Medicago truncatula: one gene and its partner. The protein of the gene in region 2 interacts with the protein of the main gene of each other region in a biochemical or structural test. Links are inferred from orthologs where the notes say so. Each region holds a gene or a part of one and is shown on either strand. Other genes may lie near its edges. The genes, in order: calcineurin B-like protein 7 and CBL-interacting serine/threonine-protein kinase 24.

Region 1 (9,184 bases), on a different chromosome or scaffold from region 2:
AAGATAGAAAACTTGTTTTAATCAACTTTAAAGCTTTTGTATACGTATTCATTTCATAAATCAATTTATTAGGTGGAACAGAATTACCGGTTAATGATGAAGATGGATGGATACTCACAAGGTGTTTCAGAAGCAAGAATTGTGGGATCCTCATAGCCAGGTGTTTTAACATTCTTTGAAGTTGAACAAAAGCAGCCCATTAAATTGAATTACCACAAAATTCACATCCAGTTTTCTCTACAAATTAACAATATATATTCATTCATTCCAGGGAAGCTATTGGACCAAAAGTTGCATTTGTATATCTGCAAATATTGTAGAAATTCCAATCAAAATCAATTAACTTGTCATCATTTGAGAATTGGCAAAAGGTACAATAGTATTATAAATAAACAAATCAATCACACTCGCACATAATAAAATCAAAGAGGACTACAACTTGATCATAACAAAAAAAACTTACACACACATATATATATATATATATATTAATGATTCATTTCTTTGTCAAGTTTCATATAACAAAAATAATTTAGTAATGATATTAAAATGCTTACATAACAAGAAGAGTGCACCAACTTGGTTGTAAATAGCTACAACAACGAACTTATATAACTACATAAAAGAGGCATACAAATTCAGGAGTACCAAACTTCACCGGGCATTCGGTTATGTTATTTATATGAACATGTGAAAGCAACATTAAACCTTTAAATACACGTTTGCCAAAGGTAAGTAGAAACATATGAGTTGGAATTGAATTGACAAGCTTATCCCTACTGACCAATACCATACAACTCACAACTTAATAAATAATATTTAGTTTGCAGAAAAACTCAAAGCAAATCAAGAAAGAAATTAAAATACTGGTTTCTTCTCTCGGTTTATTTTATTTTGAAGAAAATAACAGAAAAAAAACACGAGGTAAAACAACTTTGATGACTCAATCATGATACGATACTTTCTTCAAACTCGGTATCAAATCTATTGATTGATTAATAGGAGGCACCAGTTCATGATGCAATATTTAACTGAGGGTCACATCTATTTCTTAAAAAAATTATTCGTACATGTTTTGATTGATGGTGAATTTGACGAAATCACGGTATGATGAAGTCGGCTAATAACACTATAATCCAAAAGAAAACACGTCTCTATCCGAGTCTTTAAATGGAGTCGGCTAAATTTGTTTGATTGCTCAAAATTGTTGCTATGTTTATTTTCAAAATAAAAAAGGACACGATATGTCATGTATCACTCGTATGGAGGAGACAAAGACATAATATAAAAACAACGGAATTTGTTTTATTTTGCTAAAACAAGAAAGGATCCTACTCCATGGTTTAAAGACACCATTCATTACAGCCTCGTATAATTTGGCCACGTTATTTTTTGTTTGATTTGTAGATGAAGTGAAGTGATACATACACACTATCTAAAGTTGACGTATAACTATGATGTTTTATGTTAGAATGGTGTCCGATTTAATAATATCGACAATTATCATTTGAAATATAACTTATGGATTTCAAGCAACTTTTGACGACTTTATTATGGGTTTTTCTATCATGTATAAATTTATTATTTTAAACTTTTGAATATGTGCAAATTAATTAGCAAATGATTGAAAAAACCCATTATAAATTAAAGGAAAATCCGTCAAAAAAAATTAAAAGAAAAGAAAGGTTGTCATGTGCATGATTCACGCAAGAGATGGAGCTTTAATAACACAGTCAGAGAAAACTTAATTAGGTGAACAGATTATAGGCCTCCCCCACTTGCTTATAAATAACACAACCTTAATTAATAATCAGGCAATTCTAATCAAGTACAAGTAGGAGATGTACATTTAGCCTTTAGAGCCGTTAGAGTACATGGGTAGTCATCCTCATTAGTCATTATCCCTACCTCATCTTACTTTGACAATATTTGGTTGGCAGAAAAGAAGAAAAAAAGAGGTAAGAGATGACGGATTATACAAAATAAAATAAAAATGAAGTCACTCCCTTAATATTCACAAAAAAGATACGAAATTCAAGTTGCTCCTCGAGGATAGGAGACATGGCCTCAAACAACAAGTGAAGGGACAAGTCACTCTCTCAAATATATAAAAAAAAAAAAAAATTAGATTTTGGATGAGAAGGATACGTCCTTTCATAAATATAAAAAAACAAAACAAAATACCTTAAAATATGAGCACTCAGAGGCCAGAGAAATACATGTTTGTTATATTTCTTACGTGTCTTTGCAACGATCATCATACAATTTTATGGATGAGGAGTCTTAAAGAACACTTTTTTTTAACTTTTTTTTTAATACTTGCTCTTTCATTGAGTGAAATTTTATCATTTTATGTGGAATTCATTTTTAAAATGAGAATATTACGTTGATTTCATTCAACAAAAGAATAAGTATTAGAGAAAATGTTGAATAGAGTGTGATTATAAGACTCTTCTTTCAAGGATGTCCACAAGTAAGATTATGTTGTAAATGTTAACGGAACATCGGAAGATGTGTTTAGAATCTCACATTAGTTGAGAATCCTTAAAATATGTGTCTTTACAAGTTCTAGCCCTGCCTCTTATAAGAAGAAGTCCCCCTACCATTCCTTCGACGGCTCCGCTAGTAAAAAACAGTAAAGGCCGTCGGAATAGTACTCTATTTGGCAGGCCACTTTATTCACGTGAAACGTGAGAACTACAAAAATGGGTGCTTCTTTCTTTCTATTATTTTCTTCGTTGTTTAGTCAAGACTATAAAAAGTTGTGGGGGCTCACTTCACAATTTTTGGATGAGAATTGTTATTTGTTATAATTTTACGATAATTTTTGAACAATTGTTTTTTTTTTCTGAATATAAAGAGTGATAAAGAATATTGTGACAGAAGTTGTCAAATATGTTATATCAATTATCATTACTCTTTCTGATGTCCCTTTCTTTGTCAACCGACAAACTACATAACTTTTCACACTATTCTCAGGCAGCAAGCACAATTTGAATTGTCAAATCATTACTCATATATGTTAGGTAAAGAAATATATTAGATATATAGTAGGAAAATCAAATAATTTGCAAAACACTCTTTTACTAACTTATACTCTTTAATTAGTTGAAATTTAGTGTATACACTTTGAAAATTACCAGCATGGATTTCATAGGAGAGTGAGTGTTAAAGGAGTGTTTCTAATATTTTTCAATGTAAAATTTATGGCTAAATTTATTAATTCCAATCAACTATAGAAACAAAATCAACATTTTATTCCATCTAATCGAAAATACCTAAAATTTGATATCTATAGAAATTAAAGGGAATGATATTGAAATTTTCACAATGCACAAAGGACAAGAACAGAACAAATGTTTGTTTGAATAGATAGAACTCATAATAAATAACAAGAGGCAATATTAGGTGAAGATGCTTAAAATTTGAAACAAGATCCGATATTAGGTGAAGATAGTTTAATAATGAAAGTGCATGAACACAGATAGAAAAAGGGGAAAAGGAGATACTGACCTGTACAACATAACAGGTGAGGTCTGGAGTGGTAATAAATAAATCTTGATATTTGCTTTCTCGTATGGGAATGGGAATTGGAGATAAAACGTAAGTAAGTCCTATGTGTTGTTGCCGGAGAAGTAGCGTCTATTCTAAACGGTTAGACTCTAACCTCGGGCTGCTTGCCACATTTTGAATTGGAAATGGAATTTAGAGCCGCAACATTTTCAACTTTTCTCATTGATTATTTATTTATTAATTAATATGTATCTTCCAGCTGGCTGATTGCCACATCCCCATAATTATTTGACTAAAACTCACCCCTCCCTAACATATTAAACAATTTAATTGGTTATTTGCCTATTTCAAACATCAGAAAGGGTAACAACACTAATTTTTTAACACTCTTTTCACATTCGGTTTATTGGATGTAATCAATATATGTCTCACTATTTTGTGTGAGTTTAATTTTCAAAGTGTAGATCCACAGTTATTTAAATCAATAAAAGAATAATTATTAAAGAGTGTTTAAAAAAGTGCTGCTAGCATTACTCTTTCACACATATATTAAGAAAAATTAATTAGTGAAGGAGAGAGAGAAAAAAAATAGTGTTATTGTCATAAATATAAAGTGGAATATATCTTAAGTATTCATTCACCATTATCATCAATGTAAAGTGGACTATGTTGAATTGAAAGTGTTGAAAGTAGTATTAATTAAAGTTATAATTAATACATAAAAAATAAAGTTATAATTGGAAAAAGTAATTAATATTGCACTGAAGAGTAAAATATGTTGATTACTTTCAACAATATTTTTTTTTAAAAATGGTTACTTAATATGGGACAAAGGAAATAATTTTTTAATGTGAATTAGTAGAATATACGGGGTTCAAACCTTATTTTGATGTGAATTAATATAACAATATATTGTAAGAAAAAAATAATATATTGTCTCTGTCAACTGAGGTATGCTTACGATAACAACTAAAACTCTATTTAGATGGATGGAATCGGTATAGTTCCTCTTCATATATATTAAATAAATGTTTTCTAAGGTTCATATTGACTTCAATACCGTATTATCTCAATTTTTTTTTACCAAAATAATAATAATAATTTGATGCATTTAATAATCAATATATTTAATTTATAACATAGACCGTATATATATATATATTATTCAATTAATCCTAAAAAGAAAAATTGCTTATAATTTAGACCAAAATGAGTAGTCTATATACCAAGAAAATACAATGCATCTTATTATTTTTGTTTTCCTTTTGACTTGGCTTTGATTAAGCTATTGTGAAACGGTCCCAGGGTTAGCCAAGATAACTTATCCACTTGTTGATTTCTCATTTTCACAAAATGTCTTCCGATTAGTATTTTTTACTTGAGTATTTGTCTTCCGATTAAGCTATTTGATTAAGCCCTCGTTTGGTGTTTATGCATTGAACAATAGGCGAGATCTCAACTTGCACACCTAAAAAATCTCATAAGAAGACATCACATAGACATTCATATTCATACACATAAAAATCAAAGAAACAAATGAAACAATGAGCTCGCGATTTGTTTCGTATAAAATGAAATATTCGTTTCTTCCTCTTTTTTCCACTTGGGTATACAATTTGGGGTGATAGACAGATAGTAGTCTTCACACTACACTAAAATAAAAAATAAAAAAAACATCTTTATATCTGCAACACTTAATCTAATATGTTAAGGAGAGGCTAAACATATATCTGCAACACTTGTGACGACGCAGCTTTTGCAACATTGACTGAAAATATATTTTTTCCCCTTGATTTTTACAAGTAAAAATGTATATGTATTTGATTCAAATATATGTATTCTTTTTTTTTTTTCTTTTGTAAAAAACTGGAGTAGTACTCCGCAACTAAATTTGGCGACCAACAATAATTACATGAATTGTAAAGAAATATTTGCACAAACTATACACATGTTTGGATCTGCGCCGGTTTTGAAAAATTACGGAAAGACATTGTAACTTTGAAAAAATTAAAATGTGCTCCAACCCAAAAGGTTAAAATGTGGTAATTTACCTACCAACTAATGAAAATGAGCAATTTATTAGTGGAGTTAAAATAGTTCATGGATACTACCTAAAAATGTGAATGTTCATTGGTTGAGGTAAATTATCCGTCATTCTTCCATGGGTACATTAGTTGTCACCTCAACAAAATCAAGGTTTTATTGTAATTTTGTCAAACTTACATTGTTTCTAAATGTGCATTACATTAATATTCACTAGGGCTGGAAATGAGTCGAGTCGAACCGAACCTGCCTGAGCTCGGCTCGACTCGATAAGAATTGGTTCGACTCGAGTTCGACACGAACTATTTTTTCAGCTCGAGTTCGGCTCGTTTGAAGGTCACGAACTTCGGTTCGGCTTGTTAGGTTCAGTTCGGTTGCTCAACTCGTCCAAAAATAATTATAAAAAAAAAAAAATTAATTTATAGATCTTTGATATTATATATATATATTTTAAAATTAAATATTAAATTAAAATAAAAGTTCCCACAAGCATGCATATAATAGACATAAATTATATAAAGTTAAATGTTGCATAAATACGAAGAAAAATATCTGATACAAGTAACAGAGACAAAAAAATCCAACAAAATTCAATTAGCTGTGAACAAAATTCATAATATTCTTTTACTTTTAAACTCCAACTGCTCTTCCCTTCAAGACAAAATTGTATTCAGCCACATTTGCCTCATTTGAATTAATTTTTTTTAAAAAACTAACTCAAATTGATTTATATATATAATCGATAATCGAGTCATCTCATGAACCCAACGAGTCGAACTATATGTAGCTCAAGTTCAGCTCATTTAATTAACGAACTTAATTTTCAGCTCAAGTCCAGCTCGTTAGGTTCATGAACCAAGTTCAACGGATTAAATATCGAGTCGAATGTCGAACTATAATCGAGTTGGTCGGTTCATTGCCAACCTAATATTCACTTTAGTGCAATTGGTCATCGTGAGGAACTACATGTTTCAATACGAGCTTTTTAGCGTCTTCTTAGTTCATTATTGTTTTGCTTAGTAGTATAAAGATAGTGAGAAGAGATCAAGACAGTGCGAGAAGAGAGAGTCGTAGTTAATTTTGAAAATGACAAGAGTGCCTTTAAACTAAAAAAAAATATATAATATATAATTTGATAGTAATTTTTAATAGAACTATTATTAAGTCAATCAAAATGCTAACAATGCAACAACGAAGACAGACCATTTTTACAAAAAAAAAATTGATATTTGAACAATCATTTCTAAGCAACTTTTATGATAACTCACTTTTATATTTTTATTGTAATTTTATTCTCATTCTTTTCTTTTCTCTCTCTATTGTTATTGTCTAATAAAAAGAGAGAAAAAATGTTGTCACTAGAAGTTGTTTAAAATTTGTAGTCAAAATATCATTCCTCTTTTCCCGACATCCTGACTATCTCTACCTTCCAATAACATGATACCTTCATGGATCGAATCTCCCACACAAACATTTGTGTCTCTTTGAAATAATACTAACTTCCTACATCATGAACAGAGTATCGAGAGTGTCAAATGTTTCTCTTCCTCACCAATTTTGTGATGGGAGAGCCATTAGGAGTAGATTACAAAATTGACAGAGGTATTGTAGAGAAAGACGAGAGAGTCGTCGAAGTAATAAATGAATAAGGGTATTTTTGGAAGAAAAAAAACTTAATTACTTCTATCACAACAAGCATTTCTCCGCACTTGAGCGAAGAAGCCAAAACTACGTGGGTCTCGTCTACTTCTTTCTTTATTTGATATACCTTTCCTCAACCAAACGAAATAAGTGTCATATTTATCCTACCTTTCTCTCCCTCTTACTTCTCTCTCAAGACGAACTCTAATATGGACCAACTTGACAATTGGTCCATTGTAGATCAAGATATCCTTTACCTTAACTCTCCCTCACGGCACATTCTCCTACTCGACTCTCATCCACTGTTTCGACTAACCTTACGACCAAAAGCTCCGATTTTCTTCTACTATCTTCAAATGTTCTCCTAGTATACCAATCTCCATTGGACATTGCTACCCACATGTAGGGATGTGCAACATATTCAGGTACATGGAAAAAACATCATCCAAATAATCTCGTCGAGTTTTATAAGCCCATTTTTTTTTTTCCGGATATCCAAATTCAGAACAATATTTTTTTAAACCAAAAGCCATATCCCCTCTCTCTCAATCGACATTGAGTTTTGTTTTATTTATCCATGAATTCACCAACAACCACAACTATTGATCTTAAGTTTTTTTTTATTGTTTCGTATTTTTTCCCTTCTTGATCCAACTCGCTACTTTATTTTCGATGGAATCAAAAAAAATTGTAAATACTTTGGATTTTCAAAAAATGAACAATGTAATCTTGATATAAAGACGGAGACAAAAGGATGTATTATACGAAAGATGGAGTCAGTGGGTAATGAGAACCAATTATTTTTTAACTCTATTGATTATTTTTTATCAATGATTTTTTTTGACAAATCAATTATTTATATATTTTATGAAATTAGTTTTTTAGATCAACTTATTTTTGAAAAAATAGAATTGTGATCTTATATGAGACATCATTATCGTCTTATGCTTCATTAAGACCTCAGTCTCATTAGGTATTAAAAAAAATCTTTAATGTAGGTACCTCATAAGCGCCAAGTATGTGAGATTCTGTTCCTAGTCTTCCTTCTATTTGGTCGAGGTTGAGTGTTCTGATGGGAGGTTGGTTGGTTGTCTAGTGTTGTTTTAGTTTTAGTTTCACTCTTGTTTTCTTTGGGAGAGATCCTTTTGTTTTGTTACCTCTTGATTAAAGTATTTTTTGTACTCACTATTTGTATCTCTTTGCACTCTTTTAGAAGAAGATTTTTCCTTTTATTTATATATACATATATTTTTGTCGTTCAAAAAATAAAAAAATGTATAAATATTTTTTTATTTAATGTATTTATTTTTTTAGTATTTAATTTATAGTTAAGTGTGTTTTTGTCCTGACAAATATTTCAATTTTTAGAGTTAGTTCTTACAAAAAAAATTCTTCAATTTTTATTCCTAAATTTTTTTTTCAACCACAATTTTAATCTCTGCCTTTATGTATCCCAAAAATAAAGCTAATGGTTAACATACAAATTAAGTGCAAGATAGAAAAAAAACCGTGAGCAAGAATATATAAAAAGTTACAACGAGCAGCGCTAGTTATTATAATAAGAGAATTGATGTTGACACATTAGGTTTGGCTGAGACACACGAGTAATTTACATAAATGTCTATTGGCAGTTAACTGTCGAAGTTTTAGAAAATCGGCGGCAGTTAACTACCGAGGATTTCCTCGGCAGTTAACTGCCGATGCGAACTGAACATAAACAGAAGCAGAAACTCAGTTTTCTGAGTATTGTTCAAGTGTTCAAAAACTTTCCAAAACCAAACTACTTCTCCCATTTCGATTTTTGAGCAAAATCAAGTGCATCATCTCCATTTAATCACAAGTAAGTATCTTGACTCATTTTTAATCATAATGTTAGTTTGTGTAGGTTTTTTAAAAAAAAAATGGTAGTTTTCATGTGGTTAGGGTTAATGTAGGAATTGAATTTTTGATAATTGCATGTAGTTTATAATTGAATGTAGTTACTTTA
Region 2 (8,553 bases):
TGTCCGTGTCGTATCCGGTGTTCGTGTCTGTATCCATGCTTCATAATTTTCTCTCACCTTTTTATAAGTAGAGTAGATTCTTACCTGCTTAGTCAATGCACTCAATCCAAAGTCAGAAACCTTCAAATTTCCATAAGCATCAAGAAGAAGATTTTCAGGCTATTAAAGAAAGAAAAAAAATTATCAAGATAAAAACTTAACTAGGTTAAAATAATTACAGCAGAAACCTTATAAACACCAGATATTGTATTTTGTCTTTCACCTTCAAGTCTCTATGGTACACGCCCTTTTTATGACAATGAGCAACAGCGTCTATAAGTTGTTGAAAGTAGCGCCTAGATTCATTTTCAGAAAGCTTTACCTGCTGAACCTACAGATCCAGAATAGGTGTAATAGTAAACATAAATATCTGCCTTGTCAATGCTGACTAGTTCAAAAAGTCCGAGTTGGGAACTATTGAAGTGTAGAAGAATTGACCTCTATATATCTCGTAACATATAAGCATGAAAATTCTTACAATTTTATCATATAATTCCCCTCCCATTACAAACTCCAGAATTATGTAGATCTTGGTCTGGCTGGCCAAAACCTAAAATTTGTAAGCAATGTGAGAAAAACAATTTGGAAAGAAAGAAAGAAAGACGATGAAACTCCTGATATATTCAGATATCTATGTGCACCTCGTGCAATCTGACTATATTCGGGTGCCTGACGATCTTCATAATGGATATCTCTCTTTTAATCTGTAACATGTTTCAACTTTCAAGTTAGAAAAGCTAATAGCAAAAAGGTGAAAGAATTACGATAAGCATTGAGTATAACAAACTACATCATTATTCTGCATAAATACAGAACACACACATAAAGATATAAGCAGGACTTTGACTTCAGATGCAACATAAGATCCACTAACAGGCATCATCATGACGAAATGCTTTTTTAATTTTGCTGGATGAAAAGAATCATAAGTTTTGTATAACAATTACACACTATCATAACAATGACACACTCGAATCGTTTTGCATTGATTTATAATAACTTCGCAGAAGCATTAATAGTCCAGTGTATACTCAAGAGAGATAACCAGAATCAGTGAAATAGAATCCCATCTTAAATTGTCCTGTAACTGTAAGCACAGCTCGGTTGGTAGCTGCAAGGAAAATGATATGCAGGCGCCGGGGTTCGAAACCTGGACTCCTTCACATTTAAAATGTGTGAGCCTCAGCCACTGGGCTATTTGACCGAAGAAAAAAGAAAAAAAAGAATCCCACCTTAAATTATATTTTGAACCTGTATGGAGTGTGCAATGTAAAGAGAGAAAAGAAAAGAACAATTTTATTGATTGATTGACTAAAGTCTAAAATAAAAATTAAAAGGGACAAAGAGAAAGATCTTTCCCCCAAATATTTTCCCTTCACAAGGGTATTTTCCTTACTCCTGGGGTAAGGATTGCCCCCCACTTACTAAGAAAAACTATATTGACCAGGGCTAGACATCTATAAGAGGCCCAATAACATATCTAGTACAGGCCAACGCCACAGTGTTGTCGATGGCAGATGGCGGATCGCGGCGAAGAACGAAAATTCCGACATACCAGCTAACATATGGCGTCACCATATCCGACCATGGCACTATGGCGCCGCTGTCCTTCACAAAATTGGAAATGGTGGAAAGCCAAAAACCTGCCACCGATATCTGCCATGGCCAATATTTGACAACACTATTACCATCTAAGAATTTGGGTTGACTTAGACTCAACCTCAAAGACTAGCTCATGAAGTGACAGTTTACCCCCTTTTTTTTAAACCAGTTTACCCCCACTTATAACTACTATGTTGATCATATCACTAGTAAATGTGTGATCTCTAACACCTATTTCTCTTGAAAAATTCCTTGAAAGATCTACCAACCCGTTCTCCCCCTTATTATTAATCTAACTAATCTTCTTAAAATTAACCAACTACTTCGTCTTTCCTCCGTTTTTCTAAGAAAATACCTTTCTGTCCTACTCCTTACAGAACCTCAATAGCCCTGTCATGTTCTCGTAGCTTAATTACCTTAACTGAAATGACATGTAATTTCATCATCTAGCTTCTTTGTTTTTCCTTATAATGATTCTCAAACAAACAATTATGTTTAATGGAATGAGCAGTCCTGCAATCGAAGGAATGGTATTTCATAGCAAACGTGATTGAATGCACAGTGAAAAGTTGAGTGGCTATCCACCCATTGAATTGACTATGGATGGTGGTTTCAGCACACAGATAAACCGATGATGACTAGTCAAAACGTAGGCCGGTCGGTGCTCATCCTTTGAGCATTCCCATAGCTCTACGCCTACAGCGTAAATGAGCAAGGAACTAGAGTCTTTTTTCCTATAAGCAGCCTAAAGCATGGTAGAAAGGAAAAGAGCCTTTTTTTTCCTCTGATCCCAGTTTAAATTGAGTTCATACCTGGTGTAGACCGCCAGGGAGGAAAGGCTTGGCAAAGACATCTCATAGCCAGAACCAGACATTTTCCTTTACCATCCCCACCACTAGGAGACTGGGACTCGAGGCATAGGTAAGTATTCCTTTCCGCTCTTGAAGTCAATAAATTGCCTATCTTTCGGTGAACAACATCTTTATTTTCTTTGAATTTATGTTATAGGAAGAACTCCTCGACTACATCCTAATAACCACCTACCTGTCGACATAGAAACCAGGCAATCACTTTTAACTTCATTAGCAGTGTAGGTTTCAGCCATAGTGCAGTTTCTAGTATCGACACAGACAGTAGGAAATCTCTATGATTGAAGTCGGCGTTCAAGACAAAGTAGCCTAGTTTTAATCTTTATTTTGATTAAAAATTTAATGCAGTAAAACATGTTAAGAAAAGCATAACCTCATACGAACCAAAACATAAAGATGATTAACAAATACACTAAAAATTGAATAAAATATTTCCCTCATAGTTTTAGAAAGGAAAAAAAGAATGGAACCTGTTCAACCATTCTGTGTTTGAGAATGGTAGTTTTAGCCATGACTTTAATCGCGACACTTTCCCCTGTCTCGGAGTGTTTTGCATATTTGACCTTAGCGAATGTGCCTTCACCAATTGTTCTACCAACTTCATACTTCCCAATCTTCCTCCTCACTTTCTTCATTATTGTGACCAATTCGCAATTCAAAGAAAGTTGAAATGACCTAGAAACACGAATTGATTAGCGAATTTTCAACGGAAATTGTTAAGGTGAGTTTCTGCTAGCTCCGAACTATGAGAGGAAGAATATTCTGGAACGCGATCCTTGAAAAGAAAAGTAGAGGTTGTGGTGTTTGATGAAGAAGAGGATCGGAGAAAGAGTTAAGGTAAGAACGGAAATGGAAGATTCTAGAAAAACTGAAAGTGAAGCTTCAGAGGTTGAATTGAATTGAAGTGAAGCTTCAACAACAAACAAGAGACAGAAGAGAAATAGATGCACAGGATTTTCTGTTTGAATTAGGCTTATTTTAGAACAAAAATAAGTTTTTATGTTAATTTACATGTTCATGCTTAACAAAGTAACAAGTTAACGAAAATTGTATATTTATGAACAATTTTTTATAAATTACTTTTACAAACGGTGAATAATGCATAAAAACTTGTTTTATTTGTTTAAGTTTAAGTTTTTTTTTTTTTTAAATCAAGTATCCTCTCTGCGCGCAACTGTTTGAAGTTTGTAGATAATTAAATATATTTTTTTAGAACATTAAATATATTTTTTATTTTTATTTTTTTGATGATGGTTGAAATTTAAACTACGAATTTTACATATGTTATATATTGTCTCTATCAACTGAATTAAAACTCAGGAGGACAAATGCATTTTGTATTTGGTGTGTGTTGTTTAATTTCATATGTATATATTGTCCGCCAAAAAAATCATATTTATATATATTAATATTTTTTATGTACAAATTATATTGTTCATTGGCTAGTATTTTTAATGAGCCCTCGTAGAAGTACAATATTTGGGTGGGGTGGGGGACTGGTGAACAATAATGAATACGAAAGCAATAGTGTCATATTTGTACTTACGTTTTTATACTTATTTATTCAATTAATTTATGAGAGTGCACAAATAACTTTTTCCTTTTTTGAGGAAGAGAGTAAACAAAGTTGACATTAAAAGTGTAATTGTATGATCAAAGGTGAGCATTAGGAAACAGAACTTTCCCAATATCTATTGGAGTCCACATATACTCCATCCATTTATAGCAACAACCAGTTCTTGAAAAAGTTTACCAAATTAAAGTAGATGATGCAATGCAACTAACTATTCTATATTTTATATCTATTTACACCATTAATCACCTTACCCTACTGGGTAGGTTTCTTGTGCATCATATATAAGAGCAGCTGAAATTAAGTACCAATATGGAAAACAAAGCTAGGCTACTTTATATTGGTTTAGAACTAAATTAATTACAAATTCAAGCCAGGAGGAATAGCATTATGAAATTATATATGACCCTTCAGAAAGTGATTTCTTTTAATGCAAATGCCTGGAGTGTGGACCATGTATTCTTGCTAACTCTTGAATGTGTTTTGAGCGAGCATTTGGAATTCCTTCAACAGCACAATGAGCATGAATGATTCATCCAAACTTGTGTAAAATAACATAACACAAGAACTCATAACATGACGCACCAAAAGCTAAAATAGATATAACATTTAAACAGAATGGAGTTAAACGTGCAAATTGCAACAAACCAACACAAACGAGTAACATAGGGGCTTTTGACTTTAAAAATATATTAGCAAATTCCTCTAAAAAAAATATAAAGTTGCAAATTAAAACGTGTTTATGTTATTAGTAAAGGGAAAAGCTTAAGTGCACGACAGTATTTTCGTCGCAAACGCACGAATGACTTTTTTTTTTATTGTTATTTGAGTTTTTATTGTCATTTGACTCCATGTTAGTATCACGTATATGTTTGTTTATAAGAATTTGAGAAATTACATGCACCTTTTTCTTGTAGCGGTGCTTTTTCATATATATCTCACTCTAGCTTCTAAGTTACCTCTTCAATGATGTGTCAAAAAGTGGATATATATTGGAGTACACAATTCAAGGATGTTTCCACTTCTAAGTGTTTATTTTATCTTCTTTTGTCTTTTATATTGAAAAAGTTATAAGCTAGTATCCATTAAGAGAGAATCTCACATGTAGATCAACACGTCGTGCAGTTCGTGTGCCGATTCTCTCATACCATATAGCAAGGCTCATCAGTAAGCGAGTTACAAAATTGTTTAAAATCGTTTGTTAGTGTTGTTGTGCCAAAGTGAGTACTAATAAAAGTTTCGCATTTAGTAGTTGGAAGAATAAGGAGTTCCCCCTCCCTCTGAGTCGTCAATTAAAGATTAGGCGAGTGTTGTTGCAGTAGAACAAGGGTCGGTCAATTCTTTCTCAAGTCTACTGAAGAGTGTATGGGTATTTAAGACATTAGACTAAGTCAAAGCTCAACAGAACTGGACAATGAGGCATTGAACTCAGGTTTCATGTTTATAGCGCCAATAACCACAAGGAACGATGAGTAAAGAGACACGTTTTGAGAAAGGTTGAGCATATTGAACCTTGTCAACGGATCATGTTGTGAAGTCGAAAGTTGTTAGCCGAACGTGGGATACCACGAACCCCTTAACTAAGGAAAACTAATGTACTATCTACGCAAATATCCGAGAAATGCTAAACAATATAGATCATGTCATTTGGCCAATATGAATACTTTTTCATATAAATACTCATTTTGTACATTGTATTCAGTCCACATCAATCAAACATAATCTATTTACGTTATTTTATCCTTTTATCTTTCTAAATTTATCTTTATTTTCATGTATTTCTTAGTTTAGTAGTAAAAAAACGCTCTACATGAGCAGTTAAGGAACCCACAATTGAGGGATATAGTTCTTTTCTCAGTTACTTGCTGAAGAAAAGGAATCACATTTGAGGATTATCAACCAATACCTCAGATAAATCTCTAGTTCGATAACAAATTTGACACGTTCGATGGGACAATACGATCTTCATCGCTGGAAATGTCAGTTCTCCGGGTCAAGGCTAAGTTTGACCTATGCACCCGAGGTTGTAAAAAGTCTTGGCAGTATGGCTTTACCGGCACCATCAACATCAAGAAGGCCAAACCAACTGATAAGTTTTAAATTTATGTAGTTTTCAATATATATTCCATGACATTGATTAACTAAGATTGATAGAAAAACATGTGATTTTCCCACTCTATTATATATTTAAGTATTAGGATTTGATACATGAGGATGAGGATGGTAATCATCACAATGATTTGTCCTTGTTTTTATATGTGAATGAAGATAAAACATAAATGAGAAGGCAACAAAGAATTGAACCACCAGCGGTAACTTGCTACCGTTAGCGTTATCTATGTGCTTCGTTAAGCGAGTCAAAAACAGTCAATCAATTTAGGAATAAACCTGGATTCAATTGAAGTTTACATTCATTACTGGATTAATTGTTGATTGTTGACGTTGTTTTGCAATTTTGTAGAGATGATTATTAATATTTTCATTAGAGTATTTATCACGAGTTGTAACACAATTAAAGGTGTATTGCATTTGAAAATTTGAAAGAGACCTTACATAAAGGGACAAGAAATAAAAATAGAAAAGTTGTAATTATTTGTTTTTTCTATTGTTACTTTTTTCCTTTCCCTTTAATTAAAAAAAAAAAATTCAAATTGGATTGGTTATAAACACCCATATGCTAAATGAACCTAATGCACTAACAGCATCCATTTATTGGCACATCAACGTCCATTTATTGGTACATCAACATCCTTCGCTAACGATTGGATAACACCTTTATAGATGAACCAATAATGCATAATTTGTAAAGATACAACTAAATTTTCAAAAATAAAAAACAAAAGACAAAAATGGCTAATTAAAAATTACTGAGATATTGTTGCCAAAAGAAATTAATTAAGATTAAGTACTATTAAACACATTTTTAGATTAACCTTAATGCAACGTATAATGTTATTGTAAGAATTATTTGTCCAATAGACTAAAAAATATTGTTCTTATCATTTTTAAGGTATGTTTGGTTGGAAGTAGATGCAAACAAATAATAGTTTAAATCATAACATTCGGTGTAATTTTTAAGAAAGGGAGAGGAGGGAAACAAAACTCATCTTAATTCGTTTTCGCTTCCCCTCAAATTGGGGGATTATTTGAAGGGCATGGGACGATGAGAGCTTGACTAAATTATATTTTTTTTTTTAAGGAAGCGTGACTAAATCATTTAAAACTTCTTCCCTTCCCTTTGATTCAAACATATTTTTAACTAATTTTTACTCGCTTGCCTCTTCTATATTCTCTTGAACCAACAACTATATTTCTCTTTCTTCTTCTCCATTAACTTACATAAAACATGTAAATTAAGTTCAGATAACTTACGTAAAGTAAAGGATCATGTTAACTTATACATGATAGACATAAGTTAAGGATATAAGTTATCATTTTTCAAACTCTAGACTGAGTTATATAAGTGAGGTGACATTTAATTTGGGAAAGGAGACTTCTTTCCCACCATGGGAAAGTCTTTTCTAACCATTGGATCATACAAAGAACACACTATTACAATAGTCTCTCAACACTAGATTCTTATCTTACTATCTTCACTAACCATTGAAACTTGGATTCTTTTCCACCTTTTTCTTCTTATCTTTGTCTTTCTTATGTTCATTCTCCTCTACATCAGTTTTGTCCTTCTTTTCCTTCTTCTTCTCCATATCCTTCTTTTCCCTTTTCTCATCGTCTTTATCTTCATCCTTATGTTTCTTCTCTCTCTCTACTGATTTAATCTCCAGATCTTTTTCTATCTCAACCTTATCTTCTTTTACATCACCTGCTGATTTATCATCAATCTTGATTGGAATATTGGATTCTTCCATCTATACTATCTTACCTGACACACTGATATCTACATAAAGATTTTTTTGTACAAACAATCAAATCTGAATTTTAATCCAGATACATCTAATTCTAATTTAATTTGGTGTATAGATGAATGCATGTACTGTATGATGAAAATAGAAGAAAAGTAAGATAAAGGTAACAATAAAAGAAAACATCTAATTTTCATGTTGTTGTGTTTTGATTTTCGAAGGAGAGAAGAGTGTGTTGTTGTTGTTATGTTGATTGTTGATGTTTTGTTGTGATGTTCCATGTCCTTCTGAATTTCCATGTTGATGTTAAGGTTAGAGATGATGTAAAGAAAATATTGTGTGGATAGACTATAATAACAATGGTGGTACTACTCAATCTAATGGTAAAAAAATGACTTTCCTATGGTGGGAAAGAAGTCTCTTTTCCCAAATTAAATGCCACCTATAAGTGAAATGAACCCAAAGAAGCTGATGAGATGGGACAATTATACTTCCGTCCGTGAATAAGTGACCTATTTGTAAAAAATATTTGTCCCACAATACTTGACCTTCTCAGATTTCTAGGCAAAATTTAACAGATTTACCCCATATAAATACTTTTTGTGGT

Evidence for each region.
Region 1: the proteins of CBL-interacting serine/threonine-protein kinase 24 (region 2) and calcineurin B-like protein 7 form a complex in vitro, tested with the Arabidopsis thaliana proteins (3 studies listed by BioGRID, with this or other methods). The link is inferred for Medicago truncatula from reciprocal best matches to the Arabidopsis thaliana genes SOS2 and SOS3.

What each region holds. Positions count from the first base shown.
Region 1 is NC_053044.1:45,063,683-45,072,866, forward strand, and holds the start of calcineurin B-like protein 7, read right to left. Parts: upstream 3,719-9,184; 5' UTR 3,514-3,718; intron 838-3,513; exon of another isoform or gene 558-837; intron 306-557; 5' UTR 201-305; coding exon of another isoform or gene 173-200; coding exon 88-172; intron 1-87.
Region 2 is NC_053045.1:55,311,039-55,319,591, forward strand, and holds the start of CBL-interacting serine/threonine-protein kinase 24, read right to left. Parts: upstream 3,517-8,553; 5' UTR 3,146-3,516; coding exon 2,981-3,145; intron 2,635-2,980; exon of another isoform or gene 2,454-2,634; intron 744-2,453; coding exon 681-743; intron 590-680; coding exon 518-589; intron 371-517; coding exon 263-370; intron 160-262; coding exon 85-159; intron 1-84. UniProt on the Arabidopsis thaliana protein: Involved in the regulatory pathway for the control of intracellular Na(+) and K(+) homeostasis and salt tolerance.